2 linked regions of the Danio rerio genome follow. The protein of the gene in region 1 purifies or fractionates together with the protein of each later gene. This does not show direct contact. Links are inferred from orthologs where the notes say so. Each region holds a gene or a part of one and is shown on either strand. Other genes may lie near its edges.

Region 1 (3,837 bases):
GATGAAGGGAAAAACTGGATGAGAGAAAAAAAAAAGAGTGATAGGAAAAATAAATATTTTTACGTTTTTGCGTCCCCTTGAAAAGATGCTGTTCCATAAACAATTCCTGTTCATACACTTCCGTTTCGCTGGGATTATCTCATAATTTAACATTCTATCCTTTTCTCATCCTATCATTAAGTATTTCCCCATGTTTTTAATCTTGAAACCATGTTGAAATTAATATAAAAATGTCTTCATTCTGCATCACGGGGTGCAGTGGGTAGCACGATCACCTCACAGGAGGAAGCAAGCAAGTGCTCCGGTGTACCTCACAGTCCGAGGACATGTGGCATAGGTGAATTGAATAAGCTAAATTGGCCCTAGAATATGTGTGTGAATGTGAGTGTATGTGTGTTTCTCAGTGTTGGATTGCGGCTGGAAGGGTATCCACTGGGTAAAACATGTGCTGAATAAGTTGGCGGTTCATTCTGCTGTGGCAACCCCTGACTAATAAATGGACTAAGCCGAAAAGAAAATGAATGGACGAATGTCTTAATTCACTTTCTATTCATCAAAGCTATTTGTCGATCATCGCCTTTTATATACACATGTATTCGCTGATTCAGAGGTTGCATAAGCACTAACAGAGGCACTCCGTGTGATAAACTGATCCCAAATCAGCTTCTGTACATGCAATTTAAAGTGACATCTCTGTTATCAAACAAGTGAAGAGCAGCAAATGCATCTCTCGTTTTGTTTTTGATAACAGAGGTGTCTCTTTATGAAAGCACAGATCTAAAAGCATTCGATTCGAATTAGTTGCAGGGTTCATAAACATTTTAACTACTTAAATTCCATGACTTTTACATGATTTTTAATACTTTTAAGTTCCTGACCTAATGTTTCATACAATGTCTACATATGCGTGGTAAAAAACAATACATGTTAAAATTTATTACAGCATATGGTAAAACAGCCAACACTCTATTTAGTTACAATTTATAATTATTCATTCATTTTCTTTTCGGCTTAGTCCCTTTATTAATCTGGGGCCACCACAGCAAAATAAACCGCCAATAGCCCTTCCAGCTGCAACCCATCACTGGGAAACACCCATACACACTCAATCACACACATACACTACAGACAATTTTAGCTTATAAAATTTCCCTACAGCGTGTCTTTGGACTGTGAGGGAAAACGAAGCACCTTAAGGAAACCCACACGAACACGGGAAGAACATGCAAACTCCACACAAAATGCCAACCGACCCAGCTAAAACTCGAACCAGCGTCCTTCTTGCTTTGCAGCGATACCCACTGCGCCACCATGATGCCCAATTTATATCTATGTAAAATGAATTTTAATAATGCCTACACTGCACTAATGTGAAAGCATGTAATTGGTCAAGGACAGAAAAGCAGTCAAGACAACTAATCGATATTCAAGTACAGATATCAGTTTTCCATAACTTTTCCAAAACTTTGTGAGTTTTTCTGATTTTCCAAAACTTTACCAGGCCTGGAAAATGCCATGTCAAAATTCCAAGATATTCCCAGGTTTTCCATGACCGTATGAACCCTGTAGTTGTGTTTAAAATAAAACATGCAGGACAGACAAGTTTACATATTATACACAATCGAATCCCAAAGAGTTCTGCACTTTAGCGCCTCTTTAAATGGTGTGTACAAAATCAGTTTATCATATGGAGCGCATCCATCAGTCAGCGCTTGTATATGCATTCGCTGATTCAGAGGTTGCATATGAAGGGCGATGATCGACGAACAGCAAGATAACGCAAAACATCTTTGCGAGGGAACGAAAAAATTTTTTAAATATATTTTCCTATAACTCTCAGCCAGTTTTTTTTTCTTTCACACATTTTTTTCCCCACCATCACGTCCCTTCCAGGTCTCCGTACTGCTGTACAGCAAAATGTAAAAACAAAAAAATGTATTTAAAATAACACAATCTAAATTTTATTCATATCGAAATAAAATTGCAAGAAATATTTAGTGTCTAAATTTCTTTCAAACATTAAGGCCACCATTTTTAGGCAAAGATGCTAAAAACCCGAACTAAATATGCTTTTTTTATTGCGTTTTAGTGTGTTTTTATTAAAGGTCACGTGAAATTTAAATGCAGTTTATTTAAATGTTAGTATCAGTATTGTTAGTTTTATTTAGTGCTTCAAAACAGTGAAAAAATTTGCGTTTAGAAGATATAAAACTAATATAAACATGTAAAGCTTGTAGTTTGTCACTTCTGCCCAAACGAAAAAACGGTTTTATTCACGTCACCTCATACTTCAGTTTCCCATCAAATCTTGACCAATCAAATGCTCTCTAGTGTTTCTAGTATCTAGTATCCGCCCCCTTAAAGACTCTTCTCATTTGATTTTCATTTGATGTGCTTGACCTCAAACATTCTCACTTGCAGCGCAATGATAAAACAAAACCCAATTGGCTTTTTTTTTTAAAGGAGAGGAGCTACACTACGTCCTGCTCTTCGTGTTTTGAGATTGTCAAACATGGAATAAAAAAATGCATATTCCAAAGCACTTAATTGTTAAAGCACTTTTAATATTAAAGACTACAATAAACCCTAGATTGCAACCTATAATAATTAACTGCTAAATATTTTTACATAGAATAATCAACTACTCAATTACAAATGTTTTGGGAAAACATAAATCATATGTAAAGCAAGTTTCACACTACCATCTAAATCAAAAGAAACAGATTCTACTCTTGTTTGTTGTTGAAATATAATTCATTAAATTTCCTTTTCCGAACAAACACATCACTAACAGAATAAGTAAATTAATAAATACTAATTGACCTTATTCTAAAATGTGTAAGTGCGCTCATTTCGATTTAGTTTCCTTTAGGAGAAATGACTAGGAACAATAAACAGCAGAAAACAGTCAAACTACTTGCCCTATAAACAAGTGTCCATGACTATACAGACAAAGCAGAATAATATAATAAGATGATATCAGTTTGCAACATCAAGCAGGGTAACAAGTTGTTTTCAACATTAAAAAGGAATGGAAGTGAATGAGACCTGAAGTCTTGGGCCAAAGAAATTCAAATGGCTGTGCCCGGTTGTACGCAATAAATAAGGTCAATGGACTAATATAGTGCAATTATTGCTCTTCTCCACAGAAAACCAACAAGACGATGTTTACAATATGCTTTATTAAAAATGTCTTTCTGTTGAGGGAAAAGGGAAGGAAATGCTTTATCAAGAACCCATGACTACCTGTGTCAAAATAATAGAATAATAGAAATAATAATAAAGTAATAAAATCTTACCTGAGATTCATTATCTCCATCCATTTCATCGTCCATCATCTCATCATCATCATCATCATCATCATCACAGCTGTCATCATCATCATCCCCATCATCACCACCATCCCCTTCCTCCTCAGCATTTTCATCAATAATCCATGTGGCCTGATAGTCGGATGTCCCCTTCGGTACCTTCATCACTCTCCTCTTCTTACTGGCCTCTGAATAGAAATTAAAAAGCACATTATTACAGCTTGTACATTATCAGGCCCTGTTTCCACCTAGTATTACCATCCATTTTCTGCAAATGCATCCAAGTGTAAACAGGGTTTGAGTGTTATTCACTATTAATTACTCATTTTTCTAGCTCCATTTAGGTCACTGGCAGAGTTTCTTGCGCAGCTTCTTGAAATAAAAAACTTAAGCAAACCTCAAGATTAGTATTGCTGTAAGAAGATCTCTCTCTGTTTTGAGCTTTCTTGAGATAAAAATCAAATACTGTGATGGATAAAGTGTTCATATACGTTTACTGGAGTGATTAATAGGTTATATTAAGAAC
Region 2 (3,184 bases), on another chromosome or scaffold:
AAGTTAAAACATTGAATGTTGAAAAAATAGCTTAAAGGGGCTAATATATTTGTCTTGAAAATGTTTTTTTTTTTTTTATTAAAAACTGCTTATATTCTATCCAAAATAAAAAATAAGACTTTCTCCAGAAGAAGAAATATTATCAGACATACTGTGAAAATTTCCTGAATCTGTTAAACATCATTTGGGAAATAATAAAAAAAATCAAATAAAATAAAAAAAATCAAAGGGGTGCTAATAACTCTGACTTCAACTGTAAATAAACTTGAATTAAACTAAATACTTTAGATTAAATTGAGAATTAAAATAAAAGGGCAAATACAGGTTTACACTACTGTCAATAATAATATAACCTGATTCAATCTAAATATTCTTTACTAAATATTTTATATCAATAATTTCCACAATATAAACTGGAACTTTTTTTCAACAACGAAAATAAAAACCTTTTATATTTTAGGGCAGGGGTTGTTGACAGTTTTTTCATTTATCTTCAAGCTAGTTTAAAACATATCCAGGTCACAATTACAAATGTACTGTATAAAATAAACTATAAAAAAATTTTCATGCACACCTTTTGTAAAGCTGCTTTTGAACCCAATTTATTATTATTATTATTATTAACCAATTTTTACTGTGAAAAGTGGCATATAATTAAACTTAAATTCAACTATACAGATTAAAATGTTAACTGATTGAATTTTAAATGCAAATAAATACAAGTATACACTACTGTCAATAACAATATAACCTAATGAAATCGAAATAGTCAGAAGAATACTTTATATCCATTTGTAATTCATTTTTTTCACAGCAGAAATGGGAAGTTTTACAACAACAAATGTATTTTATATTTTAGGACAGGAGTTCCTCATGATCAGATAATCATATTCTGTGGTCTACGGCATAAATAAAAAAGGAAAACTCCTGTATTAAACAACCTTTATCTGTTGCTTTTGAATGATCTTCAAGCTTGTATGAAACATGTTCAGGTTTACTTTAGTCTCAGAAACGTATAATTACTGTACTTCCAGCTTGATGCAAGCAGATCACTATGTAGCATCACATGTGCACTCCATGACAATAACAGGAAGTTATCTCAGGTCAAAGATGTTTTATTGTATAAATCCATGAACTTTGAAGAACAGATGCGTGTCATGATGTTAATAAACTAAAGCCATACAGTCTGACCTAAGCTGATGAATAAATCTGCCAATGCTGGAGAGGTTTTTTGTGAAGAGTGTTTAAATAAAAGTGGGATTCCTTTGTAAAAAATTATACTTGATTCTTTTTTTTAATAATTGGTTGAAATAAACTGTAGGATGTGAATAATAATTACATATTATACAAACACTAATAGCGAACGTTTAACTGTTTACCATTAAACAGTCAAACTGAAGTAGAACCAAATAAACGGAACCATCTCTATAGGTTCCATTCATTCCGATGTTTCCATGGCAACACTGTTAGAGAATGTTTTTTAGAACTGCCTCAAGAAACATAGTAGTCCTGGACAGGTACAGTGAGTGATGTCATCGTTACCCTTGTGGCCTGTGAACAGAAGTGTCTTCACTAAGGTCCTGTAGTCTCTATGAAAGCTTCATGCCCTGAACGTTTGCTCTTAAATGAACCATCTGTTTCTCCTGCATCTGCTTCTCCTGTTTGAACGCCAGTTTGTTTGCTTTCTTCTCGGTCCTCCTCTCCTGAAGCAAGGAAGTAAAGCAAACATGAATGCTAGTGTGCTAGTGACTTTCAGCTCAATGAAGACCATTATAACCGACATATTTCTCACTTCAGAGATAAACTTTGGTAAATCACAAAGAAAGCCTGGACCCAAGTCTAGAACCTGCTAACATAATGCCAACTGAAACATGCTAGCATAAGTTAAAACATGTTAACATTTATAAAGTTCTCAATCATACTAGCGATACGCTAAAACATGCTAGCATTTTGTTAATTCATTACACGTGCTTCTGAAAACATACTAACAAACTAATTCCTGAGAAAAAAATTGCAACTAGCCTATAATGTGCTAACATAATGCCAACTGAAACATGCTAGCAATAACTTAAAACGTGTTCAAATTTAGGTTAAAACATGTTAACATTTATAAAGTTCTCAATCATACTAGCAATGTGCTAAAACATGCTAGCGTATTGTTAATTCATTACATGTGCTTTTGGAAGCATACTAACAAACTAATTCCTGAGAAAAAGCTGGCAACTAGCCTATAATGTGTAAACAAAACACCTACTGAAACATGCTAGCAACAAGTTAAAACATGTTAACATTTATAACGTTCTCAATCATACTAGCAATGTGCTAAAACATGCTAGAATATTGTTCATTAATTACATGTGCTTCTGGAAACATAAGAACAAACAAATTCCTGAGAAAAAAAACTGGCAACTAGCCAAGAACCTGCTAACATAACGCCAACTGAAACATGCTAGCGACAGGTTAAAACATGTTAAAATTTATAACATATTCAATCATCATACCAGCGATGTGCTAAAACAAGCTAGCATATTGTTAATTCATTACATGTGCTACTGGGAACATTCCAACAAGTCGAATTATTCTGAAAGCAAGCTACATATGCTAGAAACATGACCGATTATGTCAAGTCTGGCTAACTTTATTAAAAAATGTTAGCAAAAAGACAGCAACAAGCCACTTCGTGCTAAAACATGCCAATTCTTGATAAAAAAGGCAACTAACCAAGAATATGCTAAAGATAACGCCTACTGAAACATGCTAGTAATGAGTTAAAACATGTTAACATTTATAACATTCTCAATCATACTAGCGATATGCTAAAACTTGCTAGCACGTTGTTACATTACATGTGCTGTTGGAAATACACTAGCAAGTCGATTCACTCTAAAAACAAGCTACAAATGCTAGAAACATGATAAAATCATGCTAACTATTAAAAAAAGGCTATACTATACTACAATATGTTAAACATGCAAATCCTTGAGAAAAAAGGCAACTAGCTAGAACATGCTAACATATAACATAACGCCTACTGAAACATGCTAGCAATAACTTAAATTTTTTTAAAATTTATAACCTAAATACCATTTTCATTCATACTCAGTGTGCTAAAACATGCTAGCACATAATGAATTCATTGCGTGCTAACAAGTCGACTCATCCTAAAAGTAAGTTACATAAATTA

What was found.
Region 2: the proteins of tsr1 (region 1) and ltv1 purify together in Homo sapiens (co-immunoprecipitation; 4 studies listed by BioGRID and IntAct, counting the BioPlex papers as one, with this or other methods). This does not show direct contact. The link is inferred for Danio rerio from reciprocal best matches to the Homo sapiens genes TSR1 and LTV1.

What each region holds. Positions count from the first base shown.
Region 1 is NC_133190.1:28,116,457-28,120,293, reverse strand, and holds part of tsr1 (pre-rRNA-processing protein TSR1 homolog), read right to left. Parts: intron 3,500-3,837; coding exon 3,319-3,499; coding exon of another isoform or gene 3,300-3,318; intron 1-3,299. UniProt on the Homo sapiens protein: Required during maturation of the 40S ribosomal subunit in the nucleolus.
Region 2 is NC_133176.1:57,343,988-57,347,171, forward strand, and holds the end of ltv1 (protein LTV1 homolog), read right to left. Parts: intron 1,704-3,184; coding exon 1,590-1,703; 3' UTR 827-1,589; downstream 1-826. UniProt on the Homo sapiens protein: Essential for ribosome biogenesis.